3 linked regions of the Anolis sagrei genome follow. The protein of the gene in region 2 interacts with the protein of the main gene of each other region in a biochemical or structural test. Links are inferred from orthologs where the notes say so. Each region holds a gene or a part of one and is shown on either strand. Other genes may lie near its edges. The genes, in order: CLDN1, TJP1 and CLDN2.

Region 1 (7,397 bases), on a different chromosome or scaffold from region 2:
AGAAAATACTGGGTTTGGTGGGCAGTGTCCTTTGGTTTTGGAGTTGTAGTTCACCTCCATCCAGAGATCACTGTGGACTCAAACAATGATGGATCTGGACCAAACTCTACACGAATACTCAATATGCCCAAATGTGAACACTGGTGGAGTTTGGGGAAAATAGAATCTTGACATTTGGGAGTTGTAGTTGCTGGGATTTATAGTTCACCTACAATCAGAGCATTCTGAACCCCACCAACAATAGAATTGGGTCAAACCTCCCACACAGAACCCCCATGTGGGCCACAGCAACGCATGGCAGGGGACAGCTAGTGGACAATATTTGTAATTGTTTTGCACACAAAGCAAAGTTTCTGTATCACTGGAAAGCAAAGGGACCACTCCCTCAGCCTTGTTCTCCAAAATCTTGATCATTTTAGTCCAGAGGAGGGTGACTAAAATGATCAAGATTCTGGAGAACAAGCCCTATGAGGAGCGGCTTAAAGAGCTGGGCATGTTTAGCCAGGAAGAAGAGAAGGCTGAAAGGAGATATGATAGCCATGTATAAATATGTGAGAGGAAATCACAGGGAGGAGGGAGCAAGCTTGTTTTCTGCTTCCTTAGAGACTAGGACACAATGGAACAATGGCTTCAAACTATAAGAGAGGAGATTCCATCTGAACATGAGGAAGAACTTCCTGACTGTGAGAGCTGTTCAGCAGTGGAACTCTCTGCCCCGGAGTGTGGTGGAGGCTCCTTCTTTGGAAGCTTTTAAACAGAGGCTGGATGGCCATCTGTCTGGGGTGATTTGAATGCAATATTCCTGCTTCTTGGCAGAATGGGGTTGGACTGGATGGCCCATGAGGTCTCTTCCAACTCTTTGATTCTATGATCTCATGAGGGACGAAGACACAAATACAAGAATTCCAAAAATTTTAATACCAAACAACTCTGGTTCTAAACATTTCGGATAAGGAATACTCAAACTGTCTTTTTTAAACATACATGGATGCTGTGTTTACCTTTGGATCCCATGTCCAAGATTCCTCAATATGTGAGCATACCCAGAAACAGGTATTCCAGATCCTAAACATTTTGGTTCTAACCCTTTTGGATAAGGAATACTCCACCCATATAAGGAGGAGGGGGGAATCTAAAACCCCAAACACAAGTGATCCCAACCATTTTGGATAAGGAATATTCTGCCTTTCCATGACTTTTGTATGTTTCATAGATAGTTTAAACCTGAATCTAATCTCAAAGATACAGATAGGCAAATACAGGTATTGGAAAATATGAAATATCCCAAAACTCTTCTGTTCACCAGGATTTCAGATAAGGAATACTCCACCCATAATAAGGTGTCCATTAAATATACATGAATTTTGTGTTTAGACAAATACATATTTCAAAAAAACCCAAATTCCAAGATACCAAGATGACTGATCCCAACTGTTTTTGACGAAGAACACTCATATGTCTATGAAACATATCAAGTTTCGACTTGGGTTCAAACTCCAAGATATCTCATGAGGTTCGTAGCCAACATCTGAATTCCATTGTTGATGAAACATCACTGAATTTCATGTTTAGGTTTGAATCCCATCTCCATATATCTCATTGTTTACATATGTCCAAAACAAAGCATTCCAAAACACTTCTAGTCCCAAGCATTTGGAAAAGGGAGAGTTGACCTGTACGAGTGTGTAGTGTCTATGACACCTAAATGAATTTTGTGTTTAGATTGGTGTCCCATCTCCAAGACATCTCATGATGTCCGTAATTGCAGATACAAGTATCTGAAAATATGAAAACCCCTGGAATCTCAACCATAGGAGTCAATGACACAGAAGCATTTGGGATAAGGAATTATTGACCTGTGGAAGGTGTCTATGAAACTGACACAAATGTTACATTTAGACTTGGAGCCCACACCCAAGTTCTCTCGTGATGTACATATATATTTGAATATGGGGTAAACACCAACTCCCAAACACTTCTGGTCCTGACCAGACTTGACCCATACATACTGTCCTATGGTCTTGACCCATATATAGTGTCCTATGCAATGTCACTCAATGTTGTGTTAGATTTGGTTCTCATCTCGATGACATCTTATGATATAGGTCTACTCAAGACATGGGCAACCTTGGGCCTTCAAGGTGTTTTGGACTTCAACTCACACAAATCCTAACACCCTACTAACTACCAAGTTGAAGTCCAAAACACTGGAGGGTCGAAGTTTGCCCATGTCTGGGATAGACCTATAGCATGAGATGTCATTGAGATGGCACCCAAATCTAACACAGCATTCAGTGACATTTCATAGGACACTATATATGGGTCAAGATCATCGGACACTATGTATGGGTCAAGTCCGGTTAGGACCAGAAGATGTGCTTTGGATTTGGATTTATTGGTATTTTAAGATCGGGATAGACCCGGCATGGGCAAACTTCGACCCTCCAGATGTTTTGGACTTCAACTCACACAATTCCTAACAGCATACCAACTACCAAGTTGAAGTCCAAAACACCTGGAGGGTCGAAGTTTGCCCATGTCTGGGATAGACCTATAGCATGAGGTGTCATTGAGATGGCACCCAAATCTAAGACAGCATTCAATGACATTTCATAGGACACTATATATGGGTCAAGTCCGGTTAGGACCAGAAGATGTGCTTTGGATTTGGATATATTGATATTTTAAGATCAGGATAGACCCACCATGGGCAAACTTCAACCCTCCAGGTGTTTTGGACTTCAACTCACACAATTCCTAACACCCTACCAACTACCAAGTTGAAGTCCAAAACACCTGGAGGGTCAAAGTTTGCCCATGCTAGGTCTATCCCGATCTTAAAATACCAATAAATCCAAATCCAAAGCACATCTGCTCCTGTGCATTTCAGATGAGAGAGACCCAACCTGCCATCATCACCATCTTGACCCTGTTTTGGGGCCCTACCTGGCAGCTTGAGGAGGGAGTCGAAGACCTTGCACTGCATCTGCCCGGTGCTCTGCATCACACAGTTCATCCAGAGCCCCTCGTAGATGGCTTGGGCCGTGATGAGGTTGTCTCCGGCGTAGGAGTTGATCTTCCACTGAGGCATGGCAGTGCTGACGATGGTGCCGATCCAGCCGATGAAGGCCAGGAGGAAGCCCAGCATCTGCAGACCACCACTGGCCATTGCGTCTCCACTGGAACAGCAACAATGAGGCAAAGGAGCACCTGAAAAGGATGGATGGATGGAGGAAGGAAGGGCGCTTGGTCCTTGGAGAGATGAAGCCAAGGAGGGATCCTTCTCTGCTCTTCTCTGCTCTCCTTTTTGTAATCCGAGGGATTTCAGAGCAGGTTGATGCTGCTGGACTTGGAGCCGACTTGGAGAACTGGCTTTCGGGGCAGCTCGGCAGCTCTATTTAAACCAGCGCCTCTCCAGCTCCGCCTGGTGGTTTCGTTCGACTTTGCCGTCCATCCAGTGCTTTGCTTTCCCAAATGAAAAATTGCAACCACAAAACAAAAAAAGTTACAATGCTTTGACGGTTCTTTTGCAACCCATACTTCAAGGTTTAGTTCTGGGGAAAGGTGGGGAAAGATACTTGCTTCGACTGGTGGAAAAGGTGTGGGGTTAAGGCAATATCAGTCACCCCAAGTTGCGTTCCTTCCTGGGCCAAAGTGCACCCCCGATGTGTTCTCTCGCTTCATGACACATCTCCCTTGCAGGATCCACCCTGTTCTTTGGAAGCGTCGGGACACTTCCAGAACAGGAAAGGAGAGGCGTCAAAGGGATTTCCAGATACTTTCTTGCTAGACGTCGTGTGTGATTACATAGAACCCCTCGACTTGAAAGGGAACCCAGAGGTCATCCGGTCCAACCTCGTACTACTGTGTGGGAAGAAATAATTCAAGCACAACTCTTTGTTAACAAAACTTCCATAGAAGGAGGTTCTACCATACTTCAAAGTGACACATCCTACTGTCAGAAAGCTGTTACCATCAGGAATGTCTTCCTAAAACATAGGTGGGATCTCTTTCCCTGCAATTTGCATCCATGGCTCCATTGTGTCCCAGCCTCTGGAGCAACAGGAAGCACGCTTTTCCCTTTCTCCTCAATGTATCATCCTTTCCAATAAATCAACTCAAGCATCATGTTCCCTCTTATCGTTCTCTCCTCCAAGCTAAACATCCCGAGCTCCCTCAGCTGCTCCTCAGAGGGATTCACACATGCAAAAGTCAATCTATTGCTCTTTCTTATTTCAGGTCTCTTCTACGCTGCCATGTTGTTGTTGTTCATTCGTTCAGTCGTCTCAGACTCTTCGTGACCTCATGGACCAGCCCACGCCAGAGCTCCCTGTCGGCCGTCACCACCCCCAGCTCCTTCAAGGTCAGTCCAGTCACTTCAAGGATGCCATCCATCCATCTTGCCTTGGTCGGCCCCTCTTCCTTTTGCCTTCCACTTTCCCCAGCATCATTCCCTTCTCTAGGCTTTGCTGTCTCCTCATGATGTGGCCAAAGGACTTCCACTTTGTCTCTAGTATCCTTCCCTCCAGTGAGAAGTCAGGCATTATTTCCTGGAGGATGGACTGGTTGGATCTTCTTGCAGTCCAAGGCACGCTCAGAACTTTCCTCCAACACCACAGCTCAAAAGCATCTCTCTTCCTTGGCTCAGCCTTCCCTAAGGTCCAGCTCTCACATCCGTAGGTGACTACAGGGAAGACCATGGCTTTGACTAGGCAATGGATCTTGGTTGCCAGTCTGATGTCTCTGCTCTTTACTATTATATCGAGACTGGACATTGCTCTCCTCCCGAGTAGGAAGCGTCTTCTGATTTCCTGGCCACAGTAATCTGCATCTGCAGTCATCTTTGCACCTAGAAATACAAAGTCTGTCACGGCCTCCACATTTTATCCCTCTATTCACAGTACTCTCAGTCATTACACTGAGATTTCATGGGAGTTATAGTTTTACACAGTCTCTGAGGTTTCTCCACCAAATAGTGTTGTTGCCTCACCAAACTATAACACTCAGGACTCAATAGCATTGGAAAATGGCAGTTAACATGGGTCAAACTGAATTCATTCTGCACCCTAAGACAGAGTAATAGATTCCGACTCCTGGAAAAGAAACTCTACCAAAACATTGAGAAAACTTTCCTGAGTGAAAGAGGGGTTTGAAAGGGGAACGGCCTTCCTCAACATGTGGTGGACCCTCGCTCTTTGGAGGTCTTTAAGCAGAGAATGGAAAACCTGCTTTTAGGGGTGCATCTATACTGTCGAATTAATGCAGTTTGACCCCATTTTAACTGTCATGGCTCACTGCTATAGAATCCTGGGAGTTGTAGTTTGGTGAGGCAACAAAACCCTATACGGTTCCGACCCAGTGTATCTGTCTAAACGGATCTCCCTCTACATCCCACCTCGAAGTCTAAGATCTTCTGGGGAGGCCCTGCTCTCGACCCCGCCTCTATCACAAGTGAGATTGGCAGGGACGAGGAGCAGGGCTTTCTCGGTGGTGGCCCCTCACCTGTGGAATTCACTCCCCGGGGAAATCAGAACAGGGACATCCCTCCTTTCCTTCAGGAAAAAACTGAAAACATGGATTTGGGACCAGGCATTCGGACAATCGGGCAGATAAAGGAGGATTTCGACAATGGACAGGAATTGAGAAAGTGGAATGGAATTATGGAACTCTGAAAGACGAACGCTGAGCTTGAGATTAGTTTTTTATTGATTGTGTTTTATTTTTATTGATTGTGTTATATACTGACCAATTTAACTGTGATAATTGTTTGATTGCTGTATGTATTCTATGTAGGCATCGAATTGTGCCTTTTTGTAAGCCGCCCTGAGTCCCCCCTCGGGGGTTGAGAAGGGCGGGGTAAAAGTACCTGAAATAAATAATAATAAAAATAAATAATAATAATAACACTATTTGGTGGAGAAGCCTTTTTTTTGCCAGGCGAAAAGGCACAACACTCATTGGCAGAGAAGGCTAAAGACCTTATAAAACTATAGCTCTTATGATGCCAAGGCCATGAGCATGGTAGTTAAAGTAGTGTCAACATGCATTAATTCCACATGTAGATGCACACTAGGAGGAATATTGTGTCCAATTCTGGGCACCACAATTCAAGAGAGATATTGACAAGCTGGAATGTGTCCAGAGGAGGGAGACTAAAATGATCAAGGGTCTGGAGAACAAGCCCTATGAGGAGCGGCTTAGGGAACTGGGCATGTTTAGCCTGAAGAAGAGAAGGCTGAGAGGAGATATGATAGCCATGTATAAATATGTGAGAGGAAGCCACAGGGAGGAGGAGGGAGCAAGCTTGTTTTCTGCTTCCTTGGAGACTAGGACAAGGAACAATGGCTTCAAACTACAAGAGAGGAGATTCCATCTGAACATTAGGAAGAACTTCCTGACTGTGAGAGCCGTTCAGCAGTGGAACTCTCTGCCCCGGAGTGTGGTGGAGGCTCCTTCTTTGGAAGCTTTTAAGCAGAGGCTGGATGGCCATTTGTCAGGGGTGATTTGAATGCAATATTCCTGCTTCTTGGCAGAATGGGGTTGGACTGGATGGCCCAGGAGGTCTCTTCCAACTCTTTGATTCTATGATTCTATGATTCTAGGGGATGTAGTTGTGCATTTTAGCCTGGCAGAAAAGGTTTGGGCTGGATGGCCTTCGGGGGTCCCTTTCAACTCCAAGATTGTGTGATTCTATAACCTGGAGATTTGGGGAAAAAATGCAGAAGACGAATGCCAGGACCATCCCTGTTTGAGGCCAGAGGAGGGGAGAGTCAACACACGAGAGACGTTCTATTTATGGAGCCACTTTTGTTTGTTGTTTCGGATAGAAGGGAGCGATGATGTTTCCCTGCTTCTGGATCCCTTTGTGGTGGAGCCAGGCCTGGTGGGTAATCCTCATCCCTTGAGCCGGCGTGTTTTGCAAACCCCTCCGAGAGGCCAGCCAAAATCCCTCAAGTCATCAAGATGAAGCAACGTCCGGACCAAAACAACCTCCTCCTCCCTTTTGAGTTGTTTTCGCTCTTTGTGGCTGGATGGTCTTGGAGCTGAAGAACAATTATGGAAAGTGCTGTCTGAGAATTGCTTGGCGGAGGATTATACCGAGAGATAAAAACACCGCAAGGGTCTGGTGTGTTGGTGAAGAACAAACAAGGTGTTTTTCACTAGGTTCTTGTGGGTTTTTTCGGGCTATAGGGCCATGTTCTAGAGGCATTTCTCCTGACGTTTCGCCTGCATCTATGGCAAGCATCTTCAGAGGTAGTGAGGTCTGTTGGAATTAGGACAATGGGTTTATATATCTCTGGAATGGCTGGGATGGGGCAAGAAGCTGGAGCTAGATGTGAATGTTTCAACTGATCACCTTCATTAGCATTTGAAGGCCTGGCTGAGCCTGGGAAAAT
Region 2 (8,347 bases):
GTCGTGCCCAGTACAACTGCATGAGGCACCGTTACCTTCCTGCCAAAGCAGTACCTATTGATCTACTCACATTTGCATGTTTTCAGACTGCTAGATTGGCAGAAGCTGGGCTAACAATGGGAGCTCACCCCATCTGTGGATTCGAACCACTAATCTTCTGATCAGCAAGTTTTGCAGCTTAGTGGTTTAACTGCTGCACCACCCACTTGCAAAAAGCATACACTGTATCAGCAAATGGTATGATTCATTTATATATTGAAATCCTTCCCTGTAACTGTTTTGCACCCTTCCCAGGATCATAAACCTGTCCAGTAAATCATAAGGGTAGGAAACAGAGAGATATATGGTCATCTGTTGATCAGTAAATTGTGGCAAACGGTCCATCACATTACTGAATCATAGGACTTGTAACTCAGTTTTAAAGGTAATTAAGTTTACAAGTGTGAAATAATGGAGGTGTAAGAGGCATATATTTCAGAGATCAAATTACCTTCAGACACTTATTTCTACCCAACAAGCCTTAGTAGCTGTTACATTTAAAAATAGATTATTATAAAACCTGCAGGGTCCTTAGTTTTTTTGTTTTAATTTGATGTGCATAATTAAGGTGCTAACTACCTTTAGATTAATTAGCCTCTCTCCTGCAGCAATGTGAGAACCTGTAGAGCTAACATACACATATCACTCCTCAGCCTGCTTGAGTCAGAAACAGTTGGCTTAAGGCTACCAACCAAGGTACACCTGGGCAAATGAACTATTGAATGCAGGGAGGCTTGCCTCTGAGTAAAGACGCATGGAATTGTGTTACACTGATCCCTGAAATCACTGGGATTATGCCTGCAGTCCTATCCACATCTGTCCTTAAATCCAGTTGTTTTATATGTTGTCATCTGACTTATGATTATTTCCCCTGAAGGGTATGTAATATTGCAGACTCTGAAGTATGCCAGATTCACTTGCATGTCACAACCCACTTCTATCTATGTGTTTTTCAGTCATCTGCTGACTATATCTTTCTTCAGTCACAATTTTTATCAAATAATCCTTGCTTAATTTCACAGTACATTCTGCAGTGAAAGCGTATTGCTATTTGCATACCTGCCCATCATATATCTCCCAAACCACTAAGGCAGAGTTTCTCAACCTGGGGGTCGGGACCCCTGGGCCACCAAAGAAGGGTCACCAAAAACCATCAAAAATATAGTTTTTTTTCTGTTGGTCATGGGGGTTCGGAGTGGGAAGTTAGGCCCAATTTTATCATTGGTGGGAGGGTCACCATTGGTGGGAAGGGTCACCAAAGACTATCAAAAATATAGTTGTTTTCTGTTGGTCATGGGGGTTCGGAGTGGGAAGTTAGGCCCAATTCTATCATTGGTGGGAGTCAGAATGCTCTTTGATTGTAGGTGAACTAAAAATCCCAGCAACTACAGCTCCCAAATCTCAAGATCTATTTCCCCCATAATACAACAGTGTTCACATTTGGGCATATTGAGTATTCGTGCCAAGTTTGGTCCAGATCCATCATTGTTTGAGTCCACAGTGCTCTCTGGATGTAGGTGAACTACAATTCCAAAACTCAAGGTCAATGCCCAGGAAACCCTTTCTGTATTGGATGTGGGAGTTTTGTGTGCCAAGTATGATTAAATTCCATCATTGGTGGAGTTTAGAATGCTCTTTGTTTATAAATCCCAGCAACTACAACTCCCAAATGACAAAATCAATCTTCCCAAACCTCACCAGTATTCAAATGTGGGCATATCGGGTATTTGTGCCAAATGTGGATCAGTGAATGAAAATACATCCTGCATGTTAGATATTTACATTACGATTCATAACAGTAGAAAAATTACAGTTATGAAGTAGCAATGAAAAAAATGTTATGGTTGGGGGTCACCACAACATGAGGAACTGCATTAAGGGATTAGGAAGGTTGAGAAACACTGCTGTTGAACTATCATACACACATCAGTCCTTAGCCTGCTTTTGCCAGGAACAATTGGCTTAAGGCTGCAAACCAAGGTACACCTGGGTAAATAAACTATTGAATGCAGGGAGGCTTGCCTCTGAGTAAAGATGCATGGAATTGTATTAAACTGATCCCTGAAATCACTGGGATTAAGCCTGCAGACCTATCCACATCTGTCCTTAAATCCAGTTGGTTTATATGTTGTCATCTGACCTATGATTATTTCCCCTGAAGGGTATGTAATATTGCAGACTCTGAAGTATGCCACATTCACTTGCATGTCACAACCCACTTCTATCAATGTGTTTTTCAGTCATCTGCTGACCATATCTTTCTTCAGTCACAATTTTTATCAAATAATCCTAGCTTAATTTCACAGAACAATACATTCTGCAACACAAAGTGTATTGCTATTTGCGTATCTATCTTCTCTCTCTCTCAGACCACTAAGGCAACGTATCTGCAAGTGTACACTGAATAGTCTACTGAAGTATTAAAGTGGCCACTACATAATCAAATTAACATTTTCCCCGACTTGAGAATATTTATTATCAACCAGCTGGTTCTTCTGCATCGTTGATAATCCCAACTGATGGTATTAACTCATTTCTATTTTACTACCATGGCTTCTACAGAGAGATTTAAAGCATTTTCTATATCCCCCACAATTATTTCTGTCCTCTTCTTCTGTTTCTTTCAACAGAGTAGCTATAATGAGAGCAAGCGGAGGAGCACAAGCGAGAGAAAGTAACTTCTAATTATAGACCATTTGTGTGGAAGGATTCGAAGGCTCTGCCGATAACACACTTGGAACATTTCAGACGGCAGGACCTATGACCTTACCTTGGTAGCCAAGGAGAACGGAAATGAACGAGTGGGGACAGACCTCCTCCAGCACCGAGCAGAACGCGGACAGGGCACCGGGCCCTTTGCAAACCAGTTTCTCTAAAAAATAGGCAGCTTGCTTCTCGCAGCACTCCCGGGACAAAATGTCTTTGTACTCCTCCAAGGAAAAGACTCTCTCATAAACCAGATATGACAGCACTTTCTGCACATCCAGCTCTCTCACGATTCTCTCCCTGTGGTTGCTTAGGATATCAGCAAGCCACTGGTTCCTATCTGTGCTTTCTTTTTTGGTTGGTTTTGCACAGTTATAAAACCAAGACCGGACCGGCCACCTAAACATGTTTGCATTTAAAGCTAAAAATAAATAAAAAGAAAGGATTGCCGCTCTCTGTCAGACGCTTGCAGCCTTCCGGGGTCTATAGGCACGCCGTGGGAAGGCAAGGGGGTATCGCCTGCCGATAGATAGGGCAATTTGACTGGAAAAGCAGAGGCCTAGGTTCGAATTATAAAAGCACAAAAAGCAAAAGAAACTGCCACGCACAGTGCTTCCAGCTCCCTAAGAGGATTACTTTACACTAATTAGCCTTTTACAAGCGTTAATAGGCATCTCCACAACCACAAAAAGGCAGAGAGGAGAATAGCTGGGCTACTGTTCACTTTGTAATTCTCTAAACCGCTTCGCAACAAACAAAACGAGTCTATTGTAGAAAGTTACACTGAAGAAGACAGGATATCAAAGCACTTATCCATTGCAGGCAAGTATTAAAACAAGAAACAAGGGCACAGTTTTAAGTGGATACTAAGATTTCTGCCTTGTTGGGCTGGCCTCCCAAATAATACTGTGATAGTGATGGTCCCTTTTAAGTAGAATTGCACAAGTGATATACCCGTATATACTCGAGTATAAGCTGACCCGAATGTAAGCCTAGGCACCTAATTTTACCACAAAAAAACCTGGGAAAACGTATTGACTCGAGTATAAGCCGAGGTGGGAAATGCAGCAGCTACTGGTCAATTTCAAAATATAAATACCAATACAATTACATTAATTGAGGCATCAGAAGGTTAAATGTTTTTGAATATTTACATAAAAGTGTAATTTAAGATAAGACTGTCCAAGTTTGATTAATCCATTATTCTAACCTTCTGCTTATGTATTCTTCCGATAATAATAAAGAGAGTGAAATAATAAATGTAATAATAACAATAATAAAACAAAATAATAAATGTAATAATAAGAGTAAAATAATCAATGTAATAATAACAATAACAACAGAATTCAATAATAAATTATCTTGACTCAAGTATAAGCCGAGAGGGACTTTTTCAGCCTAAAAAAGGGCTGAAAAACTAGGCTTATACTCGAGTATTTACAGTATTTGTTCTTATGCATACATAAGCAGAAGGCCTAGGACTTGTTCTTCATGGGTGTGTACTGTTGGAAAAAGACATTTGTGAGGAGCAGGGAAATAGTCTAAATCTTTTTGGAAACTTGCATTTACAATGTTTAACACTGATTGTATCTTTTGTGATTCCAGAATTATTGGATGATTGTTTTTTTTAAAAAAAAAACTCTCATAAATAGCATCTACTTAATGAATTAGGATTAAGGGGAGAGATTCTGACAGCTTCAATGTAGGTGTACTGCCAGTAGTAATTATTCACTGAGGATCAAACTTGCGTAACAACCCTGCTTCACATATACCCATAGTATTTACTCGAGTCTAATATGCCATCGAATCTAATGTGAAGCTCAATTTTCAAAATTCTGAAACCAAGAAAAAAAAAAGTATTTGCTGCCGAATGTGATATGCAGTGGCAAAAAGTGTAGTTTTTGTAATTTGGCCAAAAAAAAAAAAAAAGACATGCATTACTGTTGCTGACTGATTAGGATTCCTTCATTTATTTTATTTATTTACTTCTGGTATTTCTAACCCGTTCCTTCTCAGCCTCCAAAGAGGGATTCAGGACGGCTTACATTTGACAGCAATTCAATGCCACTACAAATAACACGGCATTACTGAACAAGGAACGTCTAAAGGATTATGAGAACGAGATCTGATTTCATTCAGGCGTAGATGATTATTTGTTGTATGTCTGTATATGTTATGTCTTATTTACTGTAATTGTTATTAATCGCACTGTAAACCGCATAGAGTCGCTGTATCAGGCTGATATATGCGGTATAAAAGAAAAGCAAATAAATAAATAAATAAATAAACACTTAAAACAATAAGTAAAACATCTCTTTTGGAAGTCATGCTTCCAAAAAGCCTGTGGAGATTCCTGGTTTCCCCAAAATTCCTCTCTCCTCGCTCATTTCATCTTAACAAACAACTTAGTGAGGTAGGCTAGGCAGGGAAGCAATGACTATCACAAGGTCACCAAGCCAACTTTGACGTGCGAAGAACCGTGTTTACACATCTGTTTCGACAGGCCTTTGATTTTTGATATTGCTGTTTTTAAATTGTTTTAAATTGTTTTTAAATTGTGTTAGATTTTAGCCTGTTCTTGTAAGCCGCTCTGAGCCCCAGGGGAGTGGCGGCACATAAATTTGAACAATAAATAAATAAAATAATCTAGCAACTTCCTGAACTTAAAAAAATAAGCAACATAATTTCATCTATGCTGACGATCATGCCATCACCAATGAAGCAGGGAGCTTTGAAATGATGATGATGATGATTATTATTATTAACTTTATTTGTACCCCGCTAGCATCTCCCGAAGGACTCGATGCGGCTTACATGGGTCGAAGCCCATGAAATGGTTGAACAGAAGCTCTCTGAAGCTTTGGGTGCTCTTACTACCTATTACAGGAAAAACCAGCTGACTCCTAATTCATCTAAAATGCAGATGTGTGCATTTCATCCAAAGAACAGACAAGCATCTCGAGCTCTGAGGATTATGTGGGAAGGAATCCTATTGTAGCACTGCAGCACAGGAACACCTCAGCAAGCAAGAGTCCAAAAGTGGCAGGTTAAAACCCAGAATCAGTGGCTGAGACCAGATGAGAAACTCCCTCCTGGGCACACAGAAGACTGGGAGACTTGGAAGGTGCTGAACAGGCTGCACTACTGCTCCCCTCAACTTTTCTGTCACTGGAGTACACGCCCCCCACATGGGAAGTTTAGTTCACAACCCTGTGTTTCTTTATCAGCTCCCTGCAAATAACTTGCTTCTATTCTTATCTCATTAGAGTTTTTAAACATTTTATCCTGTACATGTGGTCCGCCCACATGTGTCACTGTGATTGTGTTTATTTTTATTGTAATGTTATTTTGTTACTGTATTCATATGTTTTTTTCCATGTAATTTTGATGATGTTGCTTGTTGTTTATGTTTTGATTTTATTTTTGCTGTAATATGTTGTCTGGGCTTGGCCCCATGTAAGCCGCTCTGAGTCCCCATTGGGGAGATAGTGGCGGGTATGAATAAAGATTATTATTATTATTATTATTATTATTATTATCATCATCATCATCATCATCATAAGATGCAGCGCCAACCTTAAAAAATGGGGCCACAGAGTGGAGTCCAGGAGTGTGCAGAAGAGCAAACCACAGACAACTTACTATAATTCAGTCTGAGCCCTGCCACATGCACAATGGAGGACCTCCTTACAGCAACAGTAGAACCACTCCAAGTGGCCAGCTTCTGGTCAACCACAATTCAAGAGAGATATTGACAAGCTGGAATGTGTCCAGAGGAGAGCGACTAAAATGATAAAAGGTCTGGAGAACAAGCCCTATGAGCGGCTTACGGAGCTGGGCATGTTTAGCCTGAAGAAGAGAAGGCTGAGAGGAGATATGATAGCCATGTATAAATATGTGAGAGGAAGCCACAGGGAGGAGGAGGGAGCAAGCTTGTTTTCTGCTTCCTTGGAGACTAGGACGCGGAACAATGGCTTCAAACTACAAGAGAGGAGATTCCATCTGAACATGAGGAAGAACTTCCTGACTGTGAGAGCCGTTCAGCAGTGGAACTCTCTGCCCCGGAGTGTGGTGGAGGCTCCTTCTTTGGAAGCTTTTAAACAGAGGCTGGATGGCCATCTGTCAGGGGTGATTTGAATGCAGTGTTCCTGCTTCTTGGCAGGGGGTTGGACTGGATGGCCCATGAGGTCTCTTCCAACTCTTTGATTCTATGAAAGGAAATTTAGTATAATGCCAAGTTTTTAACTTTGTTTGTATTTTAAAATACATTATAACTGCACCCTCAATTCGCTTCTGACACGATAAATAAATAAGCAACAGGATGTATTTGTTTTTGAAGTAGTAAACTGTGATGTGTTATTTAAACATTTAAAAACTACAGGATGCATCACCACATACATACCTTGTGTTTTTGGAGAAAAATACACGGTGCCTAAAGTCTGTTTCTGGAGCAAAATTTTCTGAGATACTGCCATCTTGTGCTTGTCTCCAGATATGGCCATCTTCTATCTGAAGCAAAGTTTGTTAACTTGGAAGAACTTCACGAGAACCTGGAAATAATATTGATATATTAGGGGACAATTAGTGATTATGAGGACCTTCCGTCATACCATACCTCTGTACATTTGCAGATTGCCTTAATTGAAAGGTTCGGGCAAATGCATTTCTAAGTCTGTACTACTTTTCCACTTCCACCTTTGGAAGGTTTAGTGTGAAGATGTAAGATGGCCAAGCTATGTGTTCACATAAAACATTTTATCTCCCTCAGATAATGAGTAATATTGTAGAGCAAGCATGGGCAAACTTGGGCCTTCCAGGTGTTTTGGACTTCAACTCCCACAATTCCTAACAGCCTCAGGCCTCTTCCTGGAAGAGGCCTGGGGCTGTTAGGAATCGTGGGAGTTGAAGTCCAAAACATCTGGAAGGCCCAAGTTTGCCCATGCCTGAGGCACATCTGGTTATAAAACTATTATAATAGTTATTGTTGTGTTTCCAGATTTAAGGTGTATCCACTCGGTGAATGCAGGTAGACATCACTTGGCCAGCCATGACTCAATGCTCATGTCACTTGTAGTTTTCCAAGCTCTCTAGCCTTCTCTGTCATATAGCATTGGTGTCTTGCCAAACTACAATTCCCAGGAGTCCATAGTACTGAGCCATTCCAGTAGTATCAAACTGCAGGGATTCTACAATGGAGATGCACCCTAAACCTGGAACCAAAATAATAACAGAAACAATAGGAATACAGTTTTGTGCGTGTGTGTGTGTGTGTGTGTGTGTGTCAAGAGCGACTTGAGAAACTGTAAGTCATTTCTGGTGTGAGAGAATTTGCGGTCTGCAAGGACATTGCCCAGGGAACTCCCAGATGTTTTACGATCTTTGGCTTCTCTCATGTCCCCGTATGAGAAGCTGGAGTTGACAGACGGGAGCTCACCCCACTCACCAATCCTGCCAATATAAGGACCTAACCCATTGCGCCACTGGCGGCTCCAGGAGTACAGTACTATCTATACTACTAATAATATTGGAAAAGTGTGTAAACACAGGGTTGTTGTAGGTTTTTCCGGGCTATATGGCCATGTTCTAGAGGCATTTTCTCCTG
Region 3 (7,492 bases), on a different chromosome or scaffold from region 2:
CAAATGTCAAGGTCTATTTTCCCCAAACTCCACCAGTGTTTACATTTGGGCATATTGAGAATTCATGCCAAGTTTGGTCCAGATCCATCATTGTTTGAGTCCACAGCGCTCTCTTGATGTAGGTGAACTTGTTGTTGTTCATTCGTTCATTCATCTCCGACTCTTCGTGACCTCATGGACCAGCCCACACCAGAGCTCCCTGTCAGCCGTCACCACCCCCAGCTCCCTCAAGGTCAGTCCAGTCACTTCAAGGATGCCATCCATCCATCTTGCCCTTGGTCGGCCCCTCTTCCTTTTACCTTCCACTTTCCCCAGCATAACTGTCTTCTCTAGGCTTTGCTGTCTCCTCATGATGTGGCCAAAGTACTTCAACTTTGTCTCTAGTATCCTTCCCTCCAGTGAGCAGTCGGGCTTTATTTCCTGGAGGATGGACTGGTGGATCTTCTCGCAGTCCAAGGCACTCTCAGCACTTTCCTCCAACACCACAGTTCAAAAGCATCTCTCTTCCTTTGCTCAGCCTTCCCTAAGGTCCATCTCTCACATCCGTAGGTGACTACAGGGAATACCATGGCTTTGACTAGGCGGATCTTTGTTGCCAGTCTGATGTCTCTATTTTATCGAGACTGGACATTGCTCTCCTCCCAAGAAGTAAGCGTCTTCTGATTTCCTGGCCACAGTCTGCATCTGCAGTCATCTTTGCCTCTAGAAATACAAAGTCTGTCACGGCCTCCACATTTTCTCCCTCTATTTTCCAGTTGTCAATCATTCTTGTTGCCATAATCTTGGTTTTTTTATGTTTAGCTGCAACCCGGCTTTTGCGCTTTCTTCTTTCACCTTGATTAGAAGGCTCCTCATCTCCTCCTCGCTTTCGGCCATCAGAGTGGTGTCATCTGCATATCTGAGGTTGTTAATGTTTCTTCCAGCAATTTTCACCCCAGCCTTGCATTCGTTAAGCCCGGCACATCGCATGATGTGTTCTGCATACAGGTTAAAAAGGTTGGGTGAGAGGATGCAGCCTTGCCATACGCCTTTCCCAATCTTGAACCAGTCTGTTGTTCCGTGGTCAGTTCTGACTGTTGCTACTTGGTCCTTGTACAGATTCCTCAGGAGAGAGACAAGGGGGCTTGGGATGCCCATCCCACCAAGAACTTTCCACAATTTATTATGATCCACACAGTCAAAGGCTTTATAATAGTCAAACTTGGCTTTAGAATAGTCAAAGTTGTAGGTGAACTACAACTCCAAAACTCAAGATCAATACCCACCAAACCCTTCCAGTATTTTCTGTTTGCCATGGGAGTTCTGTGTGCCAAGTTTGATTCAATTCAATTGTTGGTGAAGTTCAGAACGCTCTCTGATTGTAGGTGAACTATACATCCCAGCAACAACTCTCACAGGACAAATACCCTCCCCCAATCCCACCAGTATTCAAATTTGGGTGTATTGGGTACTTGTGCCAAATTTGGTCCAGTGAATAAAATACATCCTGCATATCAGATATTTACATTACTATTCATAACAGCAGCAAAATGACAGTTATGAAGTAGCAATGAAACTAATTTTATGGATGGAGGTCACCATAACATGAGGAAGCGTATTAAGGAGTCGTGGCATTAGGAAGGTTGAGAACCACTGGTCTAGAGGCATTCTCTCCTGACGTTTCGCCTGCATCTATGGCAAGCATCCTCAGAGGTAGTGAGGTCTGTTGGAACTAGGAAAAAGGGTTTATATATCTGTGGAATGACCAGGGTGAGACAAAGGACTCTTGTCTGCTGGAGCTAGGTGTGAATGTTTCAACTGATCACCTTGATTAAAATTTGATTGCCTGGCAGTGCCTGGAGCAAACCTTTGTTGAGAGGTGATTAGATGTCCTTGTTTGTTTCCTCTCTGTTGTTGTGCTGTTGTTATTTTAGAGGTTTTTAACACAGAAATGCTGGACGACTCTCACAACCACCATGTCAGACTACACAGAGAAGCCATTGAAATACACAAGCATGTGGACAATTTCAACAGAAAGGAAGAAACCATGAAAATGAACAAAATCTGGCTACCAGTATTAAAAAATTCTAAAATTGCAACAGCAAAAACAGCAGAGAGAAAAACAGGCAGGGACATCTAATCACCTTTCAAGAAGAGTTTGCTCCAGGCACAGTCAGCCCATTGTATGCTAATCAAGGTGGTCAGTTGAAAGATTCACACCTAGCCCAACTTACAAAAGCCCTTTGTCTCACCCCAGCCATTCCACAGATATATAAACCCCCTTTTTTCCCAGTTCCAGCAGACCTCACCTCTGAGGATGCTTGCCATAGATGCAGGCGAAACGTCAGGAGAAATGCCTCTAGAACATGGCCATATAGCCCGAAAAAAACCCACAAGAAATATATGGCCATGGTCTAGAGCAGTGTTTCTCAACCTGGGGGTCAGGACCCCTGAGGGGGTCGTCAGGGGGTGTCAAAGGGGTCGCCAAAGACCATCAGAAAACACAGTATTTTCTGTTGGTCATTGGGATTCTGTGTGGGAAGTTTGACCCAATTCTATTGTTGGTCGAGTTCAGAAGGCTCTTTGATTGTAAGTGAACTACAACAACTACAACTCCCAAATGTCAAGGTCTATTTTCCCCAAACTCCACCAGTGTTTACATTTGGGCATATTGAGTATTCGTGCCAAGTTTGGTCCAGATCCATCATTGCATGAATCCACAGCACTCCTCTGGATATAGGTGAACTACAACTCCCAAACTCAAGGTCAATACCCACCAAACCCTTCCAGTGTTTTCTAATAGTCATTGGAGTTCTGTGTGCCAAGTTCGGTTTAAATCCATCGCTGGTGGAGTTTAGAATGCTCTTTAGTTATAGGTGAACTATAAATCCCAGCAACTACAATTCCCAAATTACAAAATCAGTCCTCCCCCCAACCCCACTAGCACTCACATTTTGGCATATTGGGTATTTGTGCTCAATTTAGTCCAGTGAATGAAAATACATCCTGCATATCGGATATTTACATTACGATTTATAACAGTAGTAAAAGGACAGGTATCAAGTAGCAACGAAAACAATATTATGGTTGAGGGTCACCACAACATATGGAACTGCATTAAGGGGTCACGGCATTAGCAAGGTTGAAAACCACTGGTCTAGAGGCATTCTCTCCTGACGTTTCGCCTGCATCTATGGCAAGCATCCTCAGAGGTAGTGAGGTCTGTTGGAACTAGGAAAATTGGGTTTATATATCTGTGGAATGACCAGGGTGGGACAAAGGACTCTTGTCTGTTGGAGCTAGGTGTGAATGTTTCAACTGATCACCTTGATTAGCATTTGATTGCCTGGCAGTGCCAGGAGCAAACTTTTGTTGAGAGGTGATTAGATGTCTTTGTTTGTTTCCTCTCTGTTGTTGTGCTGTTCTAATTTTAGAGTTTTTAAACACAGAAATACTGGACGACTCTCACAACCACCATGTCAGACTACACAGAGAAGCCATTGAAATACACAAGCATGTGGACAATTTCAACAGAAAAGAGGAAACCATGAAAAGGAACAAAATCTGGCTACCAGTATTAAAAAACAGTACAACCATATTATTTTACCACAAAGAAATGCCTCCTAAGGAAGAGATAACATTGGTCTGTGTATTTTTGTTCTTTTTATCACTTTGGGCTACTGGTGCTGGGTCATGCTGCTGTTAATAAGTTACTCTGCTGTGCATGTATGAGGAGGGTCTTTTGTTAATAAGCCCACTCACCCAACATGACCCACCAAGGCACTCTCCTTTGGTTCCTTGGCCATTTGCGCCATTTGCTTCTCACTTGGCACAAGGGCAATCCTGGGAGCAGGGGCGGCTCGTCCATTACGCAAAGTAAGCGGTTGCGGTACACTTTTTTTTGGCCAGGGGCGCAGAGGCGCCTCTGTAAATGCCCCTCGATCGCCACTTATGGAGCACCCCCTCGGCTCACAACAGCCCTAGCAGTCCGGGGGGAGCCTCGGCTTCCTTGCCTCACTGCCGGGCGATCCTCTTCCCAAAGGGGCTGGGCCCTTGAGCCTCGCCTAGCCCCTCTTGTTTCTGCTCCATATCAATGATTGGTTGGGGAGGGGGGCGCCAAAATACTGTTTGCTTACTATTGAAAATTACTTGGGGCCACCTCTCTGCCTGGGAGGAAAGGCAGGGGAGGGCCTTCTCCTCCTTGCAGTTCCCAGAGATCCCTTGGCTCTTTCTGATCCCAGTGTGGTCCCAGGGGCCCAGCCTCCCCTCCATCCCAAACATGCTTCTCTCTGCCCCCGCCAGGACCCATAACAGCTCAGGTCCACTCAATGGGGGTCAGTCTGCAGGCAAAAGACCAGGCCCCACGGTTCCTGATCTGTCCGAGTCTTTAAAGGGTTTAATTGTGATCTGGACTAAGCCTCGGCCCCCGAGCCACGATTTGCGGGTGGATTTGGCAAAGCTGCAGTGAAAAATTAGAAAGCCCTCCTCAGCCTCCCTCCGGCCTTGTTCTGAGGAGGCGCCTGACCACCCAGCCTCCCTGCCCTCCAGCAAGCCCTGAGGTAAGCCCCCCTCCCGTCGTGGGGTCAGTTGCCATGGGGTGCCCCCTCTGGGATGGGAAGGGAGGATGGGTCACCCTCTTGGCCAGGCCATGGGCATCCTGGCTGCAGGAGAGCCAGCTCCCCAGAAATAGCTCTGCTCCTTTCCCTATTTCCTCCTCCTTCCAAGAAGAGAACCATAGCAGCAAAAGACTCTGGGTCTCTTCCTGTGCAAAGAAAGGGAAGCGTCTGGTGGGCTGGGTCAGCTGTGAGAACCAAACAGTAAAGAGGCAACTCTCTGGGCCGGAGCCCGGTGGTGCAGTGGGTTAAAGCCCTGTGCCGGCAGGACTGAAGACCGACAGGTCGCAGGTTCAAATCCGGGGAGAGGCGGATGAGCTCCCTCTATCAACTCCAGCTCCTCATGCGGGGACACGAGAGAAGCCTCCCACAAGGATGATAAAAACATCAAATCATCCAGGTGTCCCCTGGGCAATGTCCTTGCAGACGGCCAATTCTCTCACACCAGAAGCGACTTGCAGTTTCTCAAGTTGCTCCTGACATGACAAAAAAAAACCTCTCTGGGCCAAATCCTGGGAAAGCTGCATGTGCATTTCAAAGGGAATTGGAAGAGGAAGAGGATACAGGTAGATTCCAGGCATAAAGCCAGAAGCAGAGGGCCACTGGGGAACCCTCCAAAGGAGGAGGCAGGGGAGGAGGGCTTCCTACCAAGGCACCTCTGCCCCAGCAGTTGGGGCCTCCTAACCTTCATGTTGCCAATCTGGGTGAGGAGATAGAGAGGGAAAGGACATTTGGAGACCTTCCCGGAGTGTAGTGGGGTGAGCATTGTGCTGGGAAGCAAGAGTGAGCTCCCCCCCCCCCCCCACACACACACCCTGGGAGAGGTCTGTCCCCTTCAGACCCAGGACTCTGCTTTGGCTCTTGGAATATGTTGGGGAATCGGAGCTGTTAGGTTCAAAAATAACCTTCAGTTAGGGTGATTCTGCCATAAATATAGCAGAGTACCAGAAGCAAACTTCATAACCAGCAGAAACATAGTAAAGGTAAAGGTAGTTCCCTGACATTACGTCCAGTCATGTCTGACTCTGGGGTGTGGTGCTCATCTCCATTTCTAAGCCGAAGAGCCAGCGTTGTCCGTAGACACCTCCAAGGTCATGTGGCCGGCATGACTGCATGGAGCTGGGTGAAACTGGGATAAGCCTCTATTTCTTAGGATGACACAGGATTTCAGAATCAGAACTTTAGGTTCGAAGATATTTATTGAAGTAAAAGAAATACACTAACTAGCTTCCTAAATCCCATCTTCTAAGAAAGGTAAAAGGGTAAAAAGTGAAAAAAAATCCATGCAGCTACATTTTGCCTAAAGAGAGAAACAAAATGTGCATTCTCACTGGAAGGAAGGAAAGGCAGAAGACACAGTGGTGGCGAATGGCCACATGGCCAGTTCAGGGCAATAAAAATACCTTTAAAACTGAAGTTCCCCCACAGAGATTCCATTGCTACATCTTCAAAGGGGGAGGAGAGAGTGGCTAGTAGGAGGAGGAAAGACAAAGCCCTTTTGGGAAACGTGCCTAGAAATGTGTGTGTTTGGGGGGGGGGGATCCCTCAACCTAATCCTATCTCTAGTATAGCTACTCATTGAGGACTAGAGACTTGACGACACAAGAGATTGGGCAGTCCAGGGATGAAACCCAACAGCCTCCTTACCTTTGTGTTGCCAACCTGGAAGAGGAGACGGGAAAGGGAGGGGTTTATGGAGACCTTCGTGGCCCCCGTCCCCTGGTCTTGGGTGGGGTGGGCGCTGTGCTGGGAAGCAAGAGTGGGCAGACCGTCTAGGGAGAGGTCCATCTCCTCCAGGTCCAGGGTTCTGCTTTAGCCCTTGTCCTCATTTCCCCGGTCCATTCCAAGAGCGATTATTAGCTCAGCTCTCCTCTGGCAAGACCCTTCTCCCTCTCCCCTTCCTTCCCTCCCTCCCTCCCTTTGTAAAAGAAGCTGGCTAGAAGGGAGAAGAAAGAGAGAGAAACCATGCCAGGGAAGGGGACAGGGCAAGGGCAACCATGTTGGGACCAGAGGTCAAACCAGGCCACCATCCACTTGGGGCTCCCAGCGTGGATCTTCTTGCCCCAAAGGATAGAGCCCAGGCTATTTATTTATTGTGTCAGGCAACTGAACAGTTCTATTACATTTTTGACAGAACAAACAAACAAACAAACAAACATACAAAAGACACAGAGTTTGCAGGCTTGGTGGTTGATTAAATGTCCTTTGACCAGTATCTGGCCACTTGGAGTGCCTCTGGTGTTGCCGCAAGAAGGTCCTCCATTGTGCATGTAGCAGGGCTCAGGTGGTCTGTAGTTTGCTCTTCACCACACTCGCATGTCGTGGATTCCACTTTGTGGCCCCATTTCTGAAGGTTGGCTCTGCATCTCGTGCTGCCAGAGCGCAGTCTGTTCGGCGCCTTCCAAGTTGCCCAGTTTTGTGTGAGCCCAGGGGGGAGTCTCTCATTGGGTATCAGCCATTGATTGAGGCTCTGGGTTTGAGCCTGCCACTTTTGGACTCTCGCTTGCTGAGGTGTTCCAGCGAGTGTCTCTGTAGATCTTAGAAAACTATTTCTTGATTTAAGTCGTTGGCATGCTGGCTGATGCCCAAACAAGGGATGAGCTGGAGATGTCTCTGCCTTGGTCCTTTCACTATTGGCTGCTATTTCCCGGCAGATGTCAGGTGGTGCGATACCAGCTAAGCAGTGTAATTTCTCCAGTTGTGTAGGGCGCAGACACCCCGTGATAATGTGGCATGTCTCATTAAGAGCCACATCTCATTAAGAGCCCAGGTTGAGGTGGAAAGAATGGCTGCCACTGGTGGGAAGCAGAGACCGTTCCTCCAACTTGGAACTGGGTTGTGTGTGTGTTAGGGAGGAAGAACGCCTAAGGGCACAGCCATCTTGGTTGAATCAAGTGTGT

Evidence for each region.
Region 1: the proteins of TJP1 (region 2) and CLDN1 form a complex in vitro, tested with the Homo sapiens proteins (2 studies listed by BioGRID and IntAct, with this or other methods). The link is inferred for Anolis sagrei from reciprocal best matches to the Homo sapiens genes TJP1 and CLDN1.
Region 3: the proteins of TJP1 (region 2) and CLDN2 form a complex in vitro, tested with the Homo sapiens proteins (2 studies listed by BioGRID and IntAct, with this or other methods). The link is inferred for Anolis sagrei from reciprocal best matches to the Homo sapiens genes TJP1 and CLDN2.

What each region holds. Positions count from the first base shown.
Region 1 is NC_090023.1:271,015,117-271,022,513, forward strand, and holds the start of CLDN1 (claudin-1), read right to left. Parts: upstream 3,384-7,397; 5' UTR 3,170-3,383; coding exon 2,947-3,169; intron 1-2,946.
Region 2 is NC_090029.1:6,538,071-6,546,417, forward strand, and holds the start of TJP1 (tight junction protein ZO-1), read right to left. Parts: upstream 3,323-8,347; 5' UTR 3,153-3,322; coding exon 2,810-3,152; exon of another isoform or gene 2,670-2,809; intron 1-2,669. UniProt on the Homo sapiens protein: TJP1, TJP2, and TJP3 are closely related scaffolding proteins that link tight junction (TJ) transmembrane proteins such as claudins, junctional adhesion molecules, and occludin to the actin cytoskeleton.
Region 3 is NC_090030.1:19,901,183-19,908,674, forward strand, and holds the start of CLDN2 (claudin-2), read left to right. Parts: upstream 1-4,475; 5' UTR 4,476-4,538; intron 4,539-7,492. UniProt on the Homo sapiens protein: Forms paracellular channels: polymerizes in tight junction strands with cation- and water-selective channels through the strands, conveying epithelial permeability in a process known as paracellular tight junction permeability.